Ovis aries: one gene and its partners. The protein of the gene in region 2 binds, or shares a complex with, the protein of the main gene of each other region. Links are inferred from orthologs where the notes say so. Each region holds a gene or a part of one and is shown on either strand. Other genes may lie near its edges.

Region 1 (6,199 bases), on a different chromosome or scaffold from region 2:
GAAGAAAGTACAGAAAACCACTACACCATTCAGGTATGACCTAAATCAAATCCCTTATGATTATACAGTGGAAGCGACAAATAGATTCAAGGGATGAGATCTGATAGACAGAGTGTCTGAGGAACTATGGATGGAGGTTCATGACACTGTACAGGAGGCAGGGATCAAGACCATCCCCCCAAAAAAGAAATCCAGAGAGGCAAAATGGTCATCTGAGGAGGCCTTACAAATAGCTGTGAATAGAAAAGAAGTGAAAGGCAAAGGAGAAAAGGAAAGATATACCCATCTGAATGCAGAGTTCCAAAGAATAGCAAGGAGAGATAAGAAAGCCTTCCTCAGCAATCAATGCAAAGAAATAGAGGAAAAGAACAGAATGGGAAAGACTAGAGATTGCTTCAAGAAAATGAGAGATACCAAGGGAACATTTCTCACAAAGATGGGACACAGTAAAGGGTAGAAATGGTGTGGACCTAACAGAAGCAGAAGATATTAAGAAGAGGTGGCGAAACTACACAGCAGAACTGTACAAAAAGATCTTCACCACCCAGATAATTACAATGGTGTGATCACCAACCTAGAGCCAGACATTCTGGAATGTGAAGTCAAGTGGGCCTTAGGAAGCATCACTATGAACAAAGCTAGTGGAGGTGATGGAATTCCAGTTGAGCTATTTCAGATCCTGAAAGATGATGCTGTGAAAGTGCTACACTGAATATGCCAGCAAATTTGGAAAACTCAGCAGTGGCCACAGGACTGGAAAACGTCAGGCAATGCCAAAGAATGCTCAAACTAACGCACAATTGTACTCATCTCACACGGTAGCAAAGTAATGCTCAAAATTCTTCAAGCCAGGCTTCAACAGTATGTGAACCGTGAACTACCAAATGTTCAAGCTAGAAAAGGCAGAGGAACCAGAGATCAAACTGCCAACATCCACTGGATCATGGAAAAAGCAAGAGTGTTTCAGAAGAATATCTACTTCTGCTTTACTGACTATGCCAAAGCCTTTGACTGTGTGGACCACAACAAACTCTGGAAAATTCTAAGAGATGGGAATACCAGACCATCTGACCTGCCTCTTGAGAAATCTGTATGAAGATCAGGAAGCAACAGTTAGAACTGAACATCGAACAACAGACTGGTTCCAAATAGGGAAAGGACTACGTCAAGGCTGTATATTGTCTCCCTGCTTATTTAACTTCTATGCAGAGTACATTATGAGAAACACTGGGCTGGATGAAGCACAAGCTGAAATCAAGACTGCCGGGAGAAATATCAATAATCTCAGATATGCAGATGATACCACCCTTATGGCAGAAAGTAAAGAAATAAAGAGCCCCTTGATGAAAGTGAAAGAAGAGAGTGAAAAATTTGGCTTAAAGCTCAACAGTCAGAAAACTAAGATCATGGCATCTGGTCCCATCACTTCATGACAAATAGATGGGGAAAGAGTGGAAATTGTAATAGACTTTATTTTCCTGGGCTCCAAAATCACTGCAGATGGTGACTGCAGCCATGAAATTAAAAGACCTTTGCTCCTTGGAAGAAAAGTTATGACCCACCTAGACAGCATATGAAAAAAGAGACATTACTTTGCCAACAAAGGTCCATCTAGTCAAAGCTTTGGTTTTTCCCGTAGTCATGTATGGATGTGAGAATTGGACTATAAAGAAAGCTGAGTGTCGAAAAATTGATGCTTTTGAACTGTGGTGTTGGAGAAGACTCTTGAGAGTCCCTTGGACTTGGAGATCCAACCAGTCCATTCTAAAGGAGATCAGTCCTGAACATTCATTGGAAGGTCTGATGCTGATGCTAAAACTCTTAATACTTTGGCCACCTGATGCAAAGAACTGACTCATTAGAAAAGACCCTGATGCTGGGAAAGACTGAAGGTGGGAGAAGGGGACTACAGAGGATGAGACGTTTGGATGGCATCACCAACTGAATGGGCATGAGTTTGAGTAAACTCCAGAAGTTAGCGATGGACAGGGAGGCCTGGCATGCTGCAGTCCATGAGGTCGCAAAGAATGGGATAGGACTGAGTGACTGACTGAACTGAACTGATGCACTGCAGCATTATTTACAATAGCCAAGAGATGGAAACAACCTAGGTGCTCACCAAGAGATGAAATGGATATAAATGTGGTACACTTATACCTAGACAGCGTATTAGAAAGTAGAGACATCACTTTGCCCACAAAGATCTGTATCGTCAAAGCTATGGTTTTTCAGGTAGTCATGTACCGATGTGAGGACTGGACCATAAAGAAAGCTGAGTGCAGAAAAACTGATGCTTTCGAATTGTGGTGCTGGAGAAGTCCAAATTCCTTGCACTGCAGAGATCAAACCAATCGATCCTAAAGGAAATTAACCCTGAAGATTCATTGGAAGGCCTGATGCTGAAGCTGAATATCCACCTCTTTGGCCACCTGATGTGCAGAGCCTATTAACTGGAAAAGATCCTGATGCTGGGAAAGACTGAAGGCAAAAGAAGGGAGCAGCAGAGGATGAGTTGGTTAGATACCATCACTGACTCAATGGCACTTTGAATAAACTCTGGGAGTTGGTGATGGACAGGGAGGCCTGGCATGCTGCAGTCCATGGGGTTGCAGAGTCAGACAGGACTGAGCAACTGAACTGAATTGAAAATGCCCAGTATGTGGAGAATGGTCAAAGAAACCATGGCACATCCTTACAATATGCAGTCATTAAAATTGGTGTTTATAAAGTCTTCATGCCCCGAGCAAATTTTCCCTAAATTACAGAATAGCATCACCAACTCAATGGACATGAGTTTGAATAAACTCCGGGAGTTCGTGATGGACACGAAGGCCTGGCGTGCCTGAACTGGAAGCTGTGCTTAACTCTGCGACCCCATGGACTGTGGCCCGCCAGTCTATCCATGGGATTCTCGAGGCAAGAACTGGAGTGGGCAGTTGCCATTTCCTTCTCCAAGGGATCTTCCCAACCCAGGGATCAAACTCAGGTCTCCCGCATTGCAGGTGGTCAACTTCCCGTCTTGAGCCACCAGGGAAGTCAGACCATATACGAATTGTTTTATAGTATTTAATCTCAACGACTGACCCACCAAACTTGCAAAGGACTGTACGCGACACCCCTTACTTGCCTCAAGCTCTTCGGCTACCACGCGGACCAGGCAATGCTGCGCCAGATGGCAGGGATCCGCCGAGAGCGCGGAGATCCAGGTCACATTCCGATGAGTCCGCAACACTCTGCGCACACACTCCCTCCATAAGCGACACACGCTGGGGACGCACACGCACAAAGGACTGTGAACGGACGTTCACTTCCCTTTCTCCCGCAGCTCTCTCTGTACAGACCTCCCTCCGCTCGCCACCACCCATAACCTCAACAGCAGGAGATCGCTACGGGATCCCGAGTCCCCGGGACGGCGAGGCGTGTAGCAGCGGTTCGGAGGCAGAACTGGGGGCGGAGAGAACCGTAGGGGGAAACTGGCTCCTCTGGGAAGGGTCCCCGGGAGCACTACGGCAGGTAGCGCTGGGGTATGGGAGCGCCACCTGGGACACGGGGTCCGGAGCCGGGGTCAGCCCTGGGTCCCGACGGTATCCGCCCACCCGCCAGCCCAGGCAAGCCCGAGGCAAGTCCCGAGGTCAGCTTCCCGCCGCCCCTGCCCTCACCCGGCCACCCGCAGCAACGCCTTAGCAGGCAGGAAGGTGAAGACACGCTCCACCACCTCCGCTAGGTTACTCAGCACGAAGGTACTTCGCGGGTCTGCGGAGGAGGAGCCGCAGCAATCGCCGCCGCCGCCGCCCACCCGCTCCATGCCTCACCAACCCCACCAACCCCACCAACCCCACCAACCCCACCGGGAAACAGTACGGCGGCTCAGAGGGAGCGGCTTAGACAGGGCCCCCGGCGCACTGAGCAGGCGCGCGCGCCACTTCCGGCCGATCCGGGGAGGCGGAACTGCTGCGGGGAAGCCCACGTGACTCCAGGCTAATATGTTTCCGGCGCTGGCCTTGGATGGCAGGCAGGTGTTTGGAAGGGGAGATTGGCGGATTTAGCAGTCCCTCGGGGTAGCAAAGTCGGACAGGACTGAGCGACTAAGCACAGAACACACAGAGTCACGCGTCCTGTAATTCTTCTGGGACTTTCCCGGAAGCTTCACGCAGTCAAACTAGATCCACCTCATTCTGTGCCGCTCACTGCTCTTGTAGCCTCATTTCCAAGTCTTTCATGAATTCTTGGGAGTCAGACTAGAGAGTGTTGTATCAGTCCTTACAGTCCCAATGTCAGTTAACAACAGCATGAGTCTGATTTTTGAACAGATAGCATATCCTTTTAAAAGTATGAAAATTCCTTTATTCAACACCGTGTAACCTCAAGTTCTGAACCTGTAAATCAGCTTAGAGTACCTACCATTGCTGTGAAACCACGCCCCAAACAGCATTAGTTCCCTGCCTATAGCATGAGATTCACCTGGGAAATACCTTGGCGCGTTCTTGATCCCCATCGCAGGCTTACTATGCGGGCTGGGGCCAGCAGTTGGAGTTTCAGCTTTACTGTGATTTAAATTTACCCCTGATGCAAGTTCAAGTTGAGAACCACAGACAGAAAAATCTAAGCACAACAGATACTGCTGTCTCCCCAGGGAACACCCACTCCTCCTGTAGCTTCCTTGCTAACAAGGCCCTGATCTGGTGCCCAGCTCTTGGCTGGTAAATGTGGTAAGTCTAAAAAAAGCAGGTCTCAAACATTTTGACTTCAGGACTGCTTCACATTCTTAAATACTGATAACGCCAAAGAACTTCTTTATGTGGGTTGTAACTATATTTATCATACTAATTCACTTAAAATAGTTCATACACAGAGTAACATGAAAAAATAACCTTACCAGATCTCCACCCCACTCCCCACTATTGCATAGAGTAGCATCTTTACATCTTATAAACCTGTAACTACTGACATTAGTTAGTATTAGACAGCTGGATCTGCTTCTGAATTCAGTCTGTTCAATATCCCATCTGTCACATCATGTAGCCTCTGGAAAACTCCACTGTACACTTGTGAGAGAATGAGAGTGAAAATATCAAATAATGGTTTAGTGTTGTTTTGACCTTAAAAACCTCCTAAAAGGGTCTCAGGAGTCTCCAGAGTTCTCCAACAAATTATACCTTGAAAACCACTGATCCAAACTAATTATGATAGTTTCATTCTTTTGACCAGCCATTAATTTAGGGGTAGACAAATGCTCTAGTTCTAGGCCAAGAAAAAGTTGTGTTTTTTGGGGGGTGGGAGGGTGGGTAGGGGGACCTCTAAAGACTTTCTCACTTCCTAAGGAGACACTGGACCACAGGGCCATTATCTACCTCTGGATGGATTAAGGTGGCTGCACATTCAAGTCTATCCAAAGATGAAACCAACACAGAAAGGTCTCAAAGCAGCAGAGGTACTACGCCTGGAGTTTTCCTACTTCTGTACTTCTTGTATGTGAGAAATTGACAATTGTGTCAAGAGGCTATGGGTACACTGAACAGGGAACAGATACTGTACCTTGGGGAATTAGGAAAGCGATGAAGAAAGTAGCATTTGAATTTATATTAAAGAATCAGTGTGCACAAGGGAAGAGGTTGAGGAAACCCTGAGTATGCCAAGTCTATACACAACAATTCTGGGTTCTCCAGCTTTCTCTTGTGAAATCAATCTACCTTAAGCCTCTCCTCACCCCATCCCACCATATATGATCCTATTCCAGAAACCCAACAGAGCCTATAGAAACTCAAAGAGTATCTGTTACAAAAGGAAAGTGAAAGAGTTATTTTTTAAATGGTTCTTTATTCATAAACTTGATGCAAGTTTACAAAATTTACTGTACATTGCCAAATAAATCTGCAATGAAAAATAAAGTCCAAAAAACCCCCCAAAACCAAAAACCAAAGCATGCCAAATGTGCAGCTGTCAATCTGCTAGCCATCAGGATATTAAAGAATTCAATAATGTATTCAAGATTTAGCCTTAGGTTTAAGGAACTTTAATGCTTTAAAGAATTCTGCCTTGTCACTTGTTATCTGAGCAACTGGCAATTGGAACTGTATACAAATTAACCGAATGAACAAGAATGCCAGAAAATCTTTTTCTACTATCCTCTTAACCAAAATAGGAAAGAAGAAAAAAAAGGAAAAGAAATTAAACACAATAATGCAGAAGTGCCAAGTTT
Region 2 (5,508 bases):
CATAGCCAATGCGGGAATCCACTCCCCGGTTAACAGAACAAATACATCCACTTGAAATAAAGGAACACAGCAGTCCTTCCAACTTCATCACCCCCTCCTGGTATGTATCATACGGTGGTATAATTAACTGAGTATGGGTTTCCTCCTCCCTCCCTGAGCCAGATCACATTCCCAACAGGAGCAGACACAGTCAGTCCAGTTAACGGTGGTCAAACAATGACTTGAGCACACACTCCTTTTCCACTCACCTCACACTCTTGTTCTCTGGCTGAACAGGGCTCACTGTCCCCTTCGGTATCTGTCTCCGAGTCATCTCCCAAGCTGATCACACAAGCGTAGGGACAAGGCTCCTGCTGGGGCTCTGAAACGTAGTCATCGGTTCCAATTTCCAGGCTGCTGGAACAGCCCTCAGGACTCAGAGTGCTTATAAAAGGGCAATTGACAGAACTCAAGGTCGTGAAAGTCCTCTGGCCCGGTTCCGGGCTCTCGCTGATCCTGATACCTAACCAGGGACACTCAGACCGCTTCTGGGGGTAGTTCTGCTCTGGGCCGTCTTTGGCCACGGCAGGTGACAACTGCATTTGGCAGGGAGAGTCCGCGCTGCAGATGTCACTCCAGAAGCCCTTCGCGAGGTGTTCCGCCACCTCTCGCTCCACGCTGCTCAGATCACTCGCGGCAAGGCCACTCTCCTTCCTGGGGCCGGAGTCTGATTTCACATCCGGACTCTCACTGAAAGCCTTCTCCTCTCGCACACTGGAACCCGATGAAGGCTTTTCTGTTAACACTGTCGTGTTTTGCATGCCAGCAAAATTCAAGTCACCATACTGGTCGTACGTGTGTAAGAGAGACAGAGAGTAGAGCCCGTGGGAGTCTGCAGAACTGGGGGGGCAGGGAGTCGTTTCTGTTTTTCCGGATGAGCCCTGGGAAGCGGGATCTTTCTTCTTGGCTTCTTCATGTTCCATCACTGACTTTCTTTCTTCACATTTTAAAATCACCTGCAAGTCTGCACAGTCCTGGATTCCTCCTAGACACTCACTTTCCGACGGCTCATGTGGCTGAACAGAAGCAGCCTGAATGTCTTTGACGCTGGACTCCACAGTTCGGACTCTGTCGGTTCCAAACGCTTTCTGGAATTTTCGGTATTTGGGGCATAAAGACGGCAGAGCCAGGGGAGCGTCCTTTTCTAAGCACATGGATTCACATGTTTGGCTGGCACTGTCCTGCAGAGGAGGAGTCACTTTTGCACTGCCTTGATACCTACGCAGTTTACAGTGAGGGGTTTGGACATTTTTGCTGTCCAGAAATTCCTCCACCTCATCAATTTCTAAATCCTTCTGGTCCAAAAGTGAAAACTTAAAATCTGGTTTCTGGCAAGGTGAGGAGAAGCATTTTTTTCTGGGGCATTCCTGCTGGTCTGCAGTGGAGTCCAGAAACTTGTATTTGAGAAACTGAAAGCAGGATTCCTCAATATCAGGTACGCCTAAAAATTCCACACACTTGTACACCTCATCCACATTGTCCTTACTGAGTATCAGTTTAGCAGTGTAGGCAAACTGAATTAAAGGTTCAAATCCTTTAACTGTCACCTGTTAATATACAAAACAAAAACAAACACATCATATGAAAACCTGTCTAGCAGATAAGGACGAGAGAAGCAGCAGGGTGGCAAGATGAAAACCTCTTTGTGATACTTATAAAACAGGGATTTTAATTTGGCGAGAAAAAAATCTTCTCAGAAATGTAAAGCTAAGGGAATCTAGAAAAGCTTGCTTCTCACATCCTGTTCACTGGGACCACACTCTCCACTTTATAGATATCCACTCATGGTGATCCATGGAGTATGATTTACTCATATGAGATAAAGATATAAACATTACCACAACTTTCCACATTAATGGAAAGAAGGCATCTATGGAATAAAGCAACACGGATAAACGTTCAACACACTGTTTCAAGTGCTGGGGTCTGTTGCCATCCTAGGTCCACGTGGTTACCATATTCCAAACAACTCCTCAGCCGTGATAAACTACTACCGTGGAATATTCAAGGCCGGAGAACAAAATAGCTAAAGCAATGAAAGTACTCCTAACCATGTGGACAGTCAATGGCTAACTATCAGTTATCTTCGAGTTTCTAATAAAATTTTTAAAGATTCAGATTTACAAAGTGATCTACGTGAAGACCTAAAACTTGTGCCTAGTACAGTCTCAGCAAAGATTCAAGGACCCTAGCTAATAAAACCTTTAAGCTCAAAATTGTACATTTACACTGAACCTGCCTCTGCAGAGAGAGGGGGAGATGACACCTACTGAGGGCATGGAAAGCTTCATTCTAGGCTCAAAATACAAAAATTAATTTTAGAACACTGAATTCCAATCAGAGTGATCAAGATATAATTTTTCTGTGATTCTCTTAAACATCTGCTAAACTGGGCATACTTAATTAGCTTTTAAATGGCTAAAAAAATAAAGTAAAATAAAAACAGCAATACCAAATACTGGTGAAGATGTGGAGAAACAGGAAAACTCACACACTGCTGGTAGGAACGTAAAATGGTGCAGCTGCTCTGCAAACCAGTTTGGCAGTTTCTTATAAACATGCAACCACCATATGTCCCAGCAACTGCACTCCTATTCTTTTATGCCAGAAAAATGAAAACTCATCTTGCACAAGCGCTCACTGCAGTGTTATCTGTAACAGCCCAAAATTGGAATCAGCCTGATTTCCTTCAATAGGTGTACAGCTAAATAAAAACCAGTATACCCACAGTAAGGAATGCTCAGCATTAGAAAAGAATACACTGCGGATGCCTAAGACTTGGATAAATCTCAGAGAAATTACAGTAAGAGGAAAAAGGCCAATCCCAAAAGGTCACCTACTGTATGACTCCATTTATGTGACATTTTTCAGATGACAAAACTTTAAGAAAGGAGGACAGATTAGTGGTTGCCAGGGATTAGGAATGGAGGGAGGGGGTGAGGGAGTATGGATGGAAACTAGAAAGGAAGTGAGTGGGATTATAAAAGGGCAACACAAGGGATTCTCGGGTAGGTGCTGAAACTGTTCAGTTTCCTTACTATGGCAGTGGACACATGGACCCACCCAGGAAACGAAACTGTATAGAATTTTACAGCATACGCAATTTAGTACAAGTAAAACCAGGAAAGCCTAAGATGGGTGAATTGTACTACTATCAAAATCCTGGTTGTGACATACAATTTTGCAAAACCACCACCATTGGAAGAAACTGAGCCGAGTGCAGCAAAGGGGCTCTCTGCCTTAACAGCTGCATGTGAATTTACAATGATCTCAATAAATGTTTTAATTGAGAATTTTTAAATAAAATAATCAAGAGGCTTTAAAGACAGCTCCACAATGATCTTTTCAATCTGTCATTATGATGAGACACTTCAAATATCTGAAAATTTGTATCTCATATTCAAATTAGAATGAATGAATGTATATATACACACGTGCATGCAGGTATCTTTCCTTCCATATACATGAATCAAATTATTTTCTGCTTGGAAAGTCTTTTCAAGTAATTTGAAACTACAGATCATAAAGAGGATATCTCCATTAGGACATGTGTTGCTACTTGTTAAAGAACAACGGGTGACCAATAGCCGGCCCTTCTTGCCACTGCCTTAGTATTATATTATTTGTTCCAACTTCTGCCACAGAACTGACCACCTGCAGCTACCATTTCATGGATGTATGTCTGCATGGCCAGCAATAAGCTAAACTGTAGACTCACTGTCATCACAGAACAGCCCACACAAACCTGTTGTACATAGACAGGTTCTATATACTTTGTCCAAATTCCTTTCAACAACTTCTAATGTGTGCTGGAGAAGACTCTTGAGAGTCCCCTGGACTGCAAGGAGATCAAACCAGTCAATCATAAAGGAAATCAGTCCTGAATATTCACTGGAAGGACTGAAGCTCCAATACTTTGGCCACCTGATGTGAAAAGCTGACTCAGTTGAAAAGACCCTGATGCTGGCAAAGATTGAGGGCAGGAGGAGAAGGGGATGACAGAGGATGAGATGGTTGGATGGCATCACCAACTCAATGGACATTTGAGTTTAAGCAAACTCTGGGAGACAGTGAAGGGCCTGGAAGCCTGGCCTGCTGCAGTCCCTGAGGTCACAAATTGTCAGATACAACTTAACGGTGAACAAAATGTGTCCCAATGCCACAAGGCTCAGCACTCTTCTAGCTGTCATCACTAATGAAACCAAACAGTTAAAACAGTCAGTGTACCCAGCACTCCCTCCCTAAGAGTCTTCTCTTAGTGGCAGGATGGTAACAAGAACCTAAGTGTCTAGGTGCACGAGCTCCACAATAGGCTTGGGGGGAAAGGTGTGTAAGTACAAGGCTCTATAAATATGACACAAAATCACCTTTCTTCTACCCACACATTGTCTCAATCTCAAGAAAGAAAAAAGGGAGAGAACCCTTCTGGAGTACCTAACAGCCACTTGTAGACAAAATGAGGAGGCTGGAATGCATAATCTTTTAGGTTTTCTCCAAATTCTAAAACATCTGGCTTTAAAAACGAAGAGATCTGGCAACTTGGACTCATAGTTAAAACAATAAAACTGAGCGGCATAGGAAGGCTGTCCCCAGTAACTCCCTTTCAGTCCTGTCCATGAAGGCAGGTCGGTCATAGTCAAATGCAGGCTTGGGAGGACCCTAATCCCTGTCCATCACAGGAAAAGGTCCAAAGGGGGAGTCCCGCCCAGGTGTGCGACCTCTCCGAATGCCCGTATCCACTGGTGAGGCATTTCATTAAAACATAACAGAGGGTCAAGTTATTCAACGGCCCAACATATATTAACTAACATCCAAAGTTATCAGAGACTTCTCTGGCAGTCCAGAGGTTAAGTAAGATTTCACACTTCCACTGCCAGACACAGGGGTTTGATCCCTGGTGGGGGAACTACGATTCCGCCTGCCTTGAGGTGCGGCCAAAATAATAAAGTGAACCAGTTGACACAAAAAATGCTGAAGCAAGTTAAATGTGAGGCTGCAGAAGCACGGGCAAGGATGACCGGCAAGGCGGGGTTTTGCCCTAACGGGATCAACCAGGGGAGACAGTTGGTTGCATGAACGCGGGGCGAGCTCTCCCACCTCTCCGGGCAGCGTGATGCGTGGCTCTGCGCCGGCCACGCCGGCGAGCCGGGCGTGGAAGTAGGCGCTGCAGGCGGCCAGCACGGCGCGGTGCGCGCGGAAGGGCCGGCCCTCCACCAGCACCGTCACGTCGCACAGCTCGTCCTTCCGCCGCTGCTCGTCCAGGCAGCGCAGCACGTGCGCGCCGTGCACCGACGACTCGTAGGCGAACACCGCGTTCTCACCCAGCCACATTCTGCGTCCGGGGCGGCGTCGGGAGGATCCGAGAGAGCATGCTTCTGACGGTTGTCAACCCTGCCGAGACACAGGCTGCGGTCACTCACGGAACGGCTAGGAAGGAAATCTGTCCCGACAGCCCCGGCAGGTACCCAT
Region 3 (5,508 bases), on a different chromosome or scaffold from region 2:
AGGGTAATATAATATTGTTGATGAAAAGAGTAATTATTAACATTAAGCATTTTATACATAACAAGCATTACTCTAAGGGCTTGACATATGTCCACTTGTGTAAATACAGCATTTCTACAAGACGGGTACAGTTATTATCCTCGTTTTACGAATGAGGAGACGGAAGCACTCAAGAGGTCAACCTGTCCGAGCTGGCACAGCGAAGTGCGGAGCCCAGATCTGCGCCTCATCTCTGGCTCCAGAGTCCACGTCCTCAACTGCTACCTTCGGCTCTTGGCTACTCACATACTCCTTGGAGTATGGAACCTGGAGATGGACAGTATAGTACACATGCGGAAGACAGAGCATTCACGCTGGGTTTCCATCCGGCTAAACCCACCAGCAGGCGCAGCTCCATCGATAAAGCGTCTGCCTGCAGTGCAGGAGACCTGGCTTCGATCCCTGGGTCGGGAAGATCCCTTGGAGAAGGAAATGACAACCCACTCCAGTACCCTTACCTGGGAAATCCCATGGACAGAGGAGCCTGGTGGGCTACCGTCCATGGGGCTGCAAAGAGCTGGGCACGACGGAGCGACTAACACTTACTGACTTAGTCAACCAGCAGGCTTTTAAGCGCGAGGTTCTATGTGTGCTTTGGGTGTGGTTTGGAAACTTCTTCCGTCCGCACAGAACCTCCCGCGTTTGGCCCTGAACTGCCTTAAGCCTGAGGACGCTGGCTGGCAGGGCTGGGCTGGTGACAGTGGGCTGGATTGTGACAGCCCTACTTTGGACGAATTTGCATTTATGCAGAAAAGGATCCTTCCACTTACTGAAAATTGGCAAAATGCTAGTCAGCAAATACATCTGAAAGGATCTTCTTAACTAACTGGAGTACCAAATTCAGCTCCAAAGAGGGTGCTGATCTCAACAGGTCTAGAGTCTGGACTAGAAACACGGTGGCCTCCGCCAGAGGCTGTGGGCGCAGGGACCCAGCTGTGAATGGCTGTGGGCGCAGGGACCCGGCTGTGAATGGCTGTGGGCGCAGGGGCCCGGCTGTGAATGGCTGTGGGCGCAGGGGCCCGGCTGGGAATGGCTGTGGGCGCAGGGACCCGGCTGTGAATGGCTGTGGGCGCAGGGGCCCGGCTGTGAATGGCTGTGGGCGCAGGGGCCCGGCTGGGAATGGCTGTGGGCGCAGGGGCCCGGCTGGGAATGGCTGTGGGCGCAGGGACCCGGCTGTGAATGGCTGTGGGCGCAGGGGCCCGGCTGGGAATGGCTGTGGGCGCAGGGACCCGGCTGTGAATGGCTGTGGGCGCAGGGACCCGGCTGTGAATGGCTGTGGGCGCAGGGGCCCGGCTGGGAATGGCTGTGGGCGCAGGGGCCCGGCTGGGAATGGCTGTGGGCGCAGGGGCCCGGCTGGGAATGTCTGTGGGTGCAGGGACCCGGCTGTGAATGGCTGTGGGCGCAGGGACCCGGCTGTGAATGGCTGTGGGCGCAGGGGCCCGGCTGGGAATGGCTGTGGGCGCAGGGGCCCGGCTGGGAATGGCTGTGGGCGCAGGGACCCGGCTGTGAATGGCTGTGGGCGCAGGGACCCGGCTGTGAATGGCTGTGGGCGCAGGGGCCCGGCTGGGAATGGCTGTGGGCGCAGGGGCCCGGCTGTGAATGGCTGTGGGCGCAGGGGCCCGGCTGGGAATGGCTGTGGGCGCAGGGGCCCGGCTGTGAATGGCTGTGGGCGCAGGGACCCGGCTGTGAATGGCTGTGGGCGCAGGGGCCCGGCTGGGAATGTCTGTGGGTGCAGGGGCCCGGCTGGGAATGTCTGTGGGCGCAGGGACCCGGCTGTGAATGGCTGTGGGCGCAGGGGCCCGGCTGTGAATGCTCACCTCTTCCTGCCCTTGCGCAGGCAGTTTGTGCGCAGCGATTCCTTCGGGCAGAAGCCGAAGAGTTCTGCTGTCACTGTTCGGGGTTTCTAGAACACTCTGCCTGCTATGGACTCTCACTTGTTTTAAAAGGAATCATTTCGAAGTGACAGGGTTAGTAGCAGTGTTAAGTTAGTTAGTGGTGAAATTTAAGAGAGACTTGCCACCCCGGGCTCTCCGCTGTTGCTCAGTAATAAACTCAGTCAGCTTTCTAGGCTGGGCTGAGTATATAAAGTCTCTCTAATCATGACTAACTGGAAAGGTCTGGTATAAGCTGGGATTGTAAAACATCTGGAAAAAAGAACTAGGTCAATTAACAAAACTGACAAAGCGCACAGAGAATTTGGGCCATTCTTATTTGTCCCCAATTTGCTACATTTAGAAACTGCATGTCCTTTGAGAGGCATATATATTTAGCTTCAGGCTCTTTTGCTACATTGTGCCTAATCACCAATCACAAAAAGCAGCACACGTGTATAAATTGTTACAAGCTGCCAACATTTTCAGAGCGAGTAGCTGAGGTGGGTCTTTTCCAAGGAAGCACCCCCTTCTCTGGAGACAGTCCCTGCGGTGGGCCCTGGGCACTGGCCATAGGCTTGAAGATCTGGGGTGCCACCCTGGATGGGGGGCATGGGGCCAGTGTCTGGTCCTTCTGAGCTCCGTTTTCTCCCCTTCGCAGCACAGACCATCTCCTAGATTTGTTACCAGGAAAACGTAAAAGAGACAAAGGGGAAAGTGCGTCTCCAATGCCTGGTTATCAGTGCAGCTTCTGATCATCTTTATTAAACGCAGCCCGACTTCTCAAACTCAGGCTCATGCCTCTGGCCAGCTCCACTGACCATCGGTGGGGCCTCTGGGACCGCTTCTCGACATGTGTGAAAAGCAGCATCTGCAGTGTGGGGATTCCCAACTAATGTTGCCTCACTGGCCCTTTCTTGCCCCCCTGAGGGGCAGAACACAAAGACGCTGAGCAGTGAGCACTTCAGACTGCGGCAGCATCATCTGGCAGCGGGCCTTCCAACTTACTGCTGCAGGAAACTTGGAACCTGAGTGGAATTTCACTGTTAAGCCACACGCACTGCAGTGTGCCACGCAAACACACTTAATCGTGGTCCGTGGACTTGCGGACAGGAAGCCAAAATCTAAGTTAAGTGTGTGTGTGACTGCTGTTTTCTTTCTGCATAAGCACAAACATTCATTTTTAAACAGAGATATTCAAAAATCATCTCAGATTAGTTTAGAAAACCAGGCAGCTTCCCATGCATACCTGTAATAACATAAGTACGTGCATGTGTACATATATATACCCAGGTAGTGAAGAAAAATCTAATATCAAGCTGTAAACGACACGGATACGTAGGAAAGAAGGTCGACAGGCAACTCACTTTATCACATCTCATCAGCCCCAAGTATCTTAAAGACTTGCTGCTCTGTGCAATCAGGGTGGCCCCTTGGTCCGTGATCTCTTTGCACCAGCCGACGTCCACAGTCTCTATTGTCATGCTGTATCGCCCGATGGCTATCAGAGCTGCGAGGGGAGGCAGAGAAGACAGGAAGCACAAACGTCAGCAGCGGAAGGGATCTCTATCTTATTATGAGTAGTTCTCTCATTTCCTCACTACATTTGTTCCTGAAATGTTGTGTATAAACGAATGTTTCCTAAATGTAATCCAATTTAAAATGCTTTAGGAAAGTGTGCCCTATGACAGAGCCTTTCACAAAGTGAATAATCATTCCATAATTTCCCTTTTATTGGAACACAACCTTTTATCAGTTTTATTCATTACAAGGTTACCTGTACTTCCAAACATTCATATCTGTAGAGGGCATAAACTCAAATGAATTACGCATATAATATTACAGGAAACCCCCAAGGAGTAATTAAATTTTATCCAAGATAAATTTAATAATTTTAAAAAAGAAAAACCTTCGAAACACCATTTTGAGGTGTGTTATTCTGCATATGAATTTCTTTACCAATTGGCACACTTTCCCCCCATCTGTTCATGATCTATAAAATGTAAGAGCATATAACATCTTTCACATTAGTCCTTCTTGAGACAGCTGGGAATTCAGAGGACATTATACACACAGTTGAATTTAGCTGGCGCTAGCATTTGTTATGGTGGATGTCCGCACTGTATCGGAAGTCTTCCTCTTATTGACACAGGGGATGAAGCCGGTCACACAAACACTACCCCTGCCCCTAGTCTGCTTGGCTGTTCAGCCCTGTACCTCTACGGACGCACAGAGGTTTATCCCACAGTCTGTGATGTACACCACACATCACTGCAGGGCTCCATAACCTGTCACCCCGTCAGAGCATCCAGTCGGCGAATGTGGCTCTTGGCTACAGGCTTCTAGTGAAACACACACACCTCTACGTTTGCAGCACAGCAAAACAGATTTCAAGACCTCCAGCCAGACAACGTTTACGGTGCATTGGTGTGTAGAGGAAAACTCTGAACACGATGCCACAAATATTGAAAAGGAATGATAACTGTTTGCTAATTATTTCCTCATTCTAAGATAGGATGAGCTGACTCCTATGACATGAAAAGCAGACGATGTTTTCCCATTGACCAGAATGATCAGAGCAGAGGAAGTACTCGTGTAAATAAATGTTAACTCTTAAAGCTTGCAGGGAAAACACAGGGCAAAAACCTCTTTGCTAATTATCTCAGCAATTTTTTAAACTAGAAAACTCATGCCTATGTATTCAAGTATCAAAGCATTCCTAATGTGCCAGATATTTAAAGTTTATGAAAACAACAGTCATGACCCCAGTGTTTCCCAGTGAAAATGCTATTAATATGAGGGAAGAAAAAAAAAAATCCCAGAAGTTCCTCAGGATATCAGTTCGCTGATGTCCTCAACTGTGCACATGCTATTCCGGCCTTTAGTTTTCCGAGGAGGCGGGACAGGGCAGGAGCGATCTGCCCAAGGTGTGCTGCGCTGTCAGGGTGATTTTTCGTATAGTATAAGCAGCATCTCAGGTTAATCCTATCCGTGTTCCTGACCTAAGAAAACGGTTGCTGTCTCTGGTAGTGTCATAAAATTCATTGGTTATGGTATCCTCAGGCTCTCTTATGACAGAAGAATTAGAAGGCACGAAAGAAATCCTTTTAACTACGAAGTGCTCGAATTATGACCTCGAAAGAAGGAGCGCCAGATGCAAGGTGACCCCACATGGGTGGACTGTGCCTTTCCATCAGGGCTTGGGGCTGGAACATGAAGGCTCCGCACTCTGCAGACGCCGGTCACTTAGATGATCAGCGGAGCTTCCTGAGGCTGCTTGATGGGCACATGGACAGTTACCAACTGCCGGTTCTGGGTGCTCAAGTCACTAGCGCATGGCAATCCCCTGGTTTCCCTTCTTTTTTGTCTAAATTAAAACACCATAGATAAGACAGCTGAAGATGCAATCAAGGTATTCAGTTTCTGTTTTGCCATAGTTCTGTCTACTGAGGTAAGAATTAAATTTTCCTTTTCCTTAACTCATTCACTGATGCGACAAAAACCTTGGGAGCACACTAGAGCCCTTCCTCCAGCACTGACGGACGACCCAGGCGCTGGGCACAGGGCTAGGAATTTCAGGCGTGTTTTCTCATTTAGC

Evidence for each region.
Region 1: the proteins of BACH1 (region 2) and FBXO22 are in contact, whole or in part, in a cryo-EM structure (PDB 8S7D), measured with the Homo sapiens proteins. The link is inferred for Ovis aries from reciprocal best matches to the Homo sapiens genes BACH1 and FBXO22. Residues at the interface, in NP_001177.1 of Homo sapiens: Ser7, Val8, Phe9, Ala10, Tyr11, Glu12, Ser13, Ser14, Val15; in NP_671717.1 of Homo sapiens: Asp366, Gly371, Asn372, Phe373, Ile374, Leu375, Arg376, Lys377, Cys378.
Region 3: the proteins of BACH1 (region 2) and FBXL17 are in contact, whole or in part, in a cryo-EM structure (PDB 8UAH), measured with the Homo sapiens proteins. The link is inferred for Ovis aries from reciprocal best matches to the Homo sapiens genes BACH1 and FBXL17. Residues at the interface, in NP_001177.1 of Homo sapiens: Val20, Leu21, Ser23, Leu24, Gln27, Val32, Leu33, Asp35, Phe39, His48, Arg49, Ser50, Val51, Ala53, Ala54, Cys55, Ser56, Ser57, His60, Ser61, Arg62, Val64, Asn72, Thr74, Pro76, His116, Asn117; in NP_001156787.2 of Homo sapiens: Asp395, Arg421, Asn447, Gln473, Gln498, Glu499, Met524, Arg548, Cys574, Leu575, Tyr598, Val600, Ser601, Asp623, Trp626, Met651, Arg652, Val676, Gln678, Asp679, Cys680, Arg682, Thr683, Glu685, Gln689, Trp692.

Annotation. Positions count from the first base shown.
Region 1 is NC_056071.1:28,993,414-28,999,612, reverse strand, and holds the start of FBXO22 (F-box only protein 22), read right to left. Parts: upstream 3,905-6,199; 5' UTR 3,806-3,904; coding exon 3,660-3,805; intron 3,267-3,659; coding exon 3,128-3,266; intron 1-3,127. UniProt on the Homo sapiens protein: Substrate-recognition component of the SCF (SKP1-CUL1-F-box protein)-type E3 ubiquitin ligase complex that is implicated in the control of various cellular processes such as cell cycle control, transcriptional regulation, DNA damage repair, and apoptosis.
Region 2 is NC_056054.1:127,400,311-127,405,818, forward strand, and holds part of BACH1 (transcription regulator protein BACH1), read right to left. Parts: intron 5,431-5,508; 5' UTR 5,371-5,430; coding exon 5,137-5,370; intron 1,587-5,136; coding exon 249-1,586; intron 1-248. UniProt on the Homo sapiens protein: Transcriptional regulator that acts as a repressor or activator, depending on the context. Binds to NF-E2 DNA binding sites. Plays important roles in coordinating transcription activation and repression by MAFK.
Region 3 is NC_056058.1:104,497,346-104,502,853, forward strand, and holds part of FBXL17 (F-box/LRR-repeat protein 17), read right to left. Parts: intron 3,421-5,508; coding exon 3,278-3,420; intron 1-3,277. UniProt on the Homo sapiens protein: Substrate-recognition component of the SCF(FBXL17) E3 ubiquitin ligase complex, a key component of a quality control pathway required to ensure functional dimerization of BTB domain-containing proteins (dimerization quality control, DQC).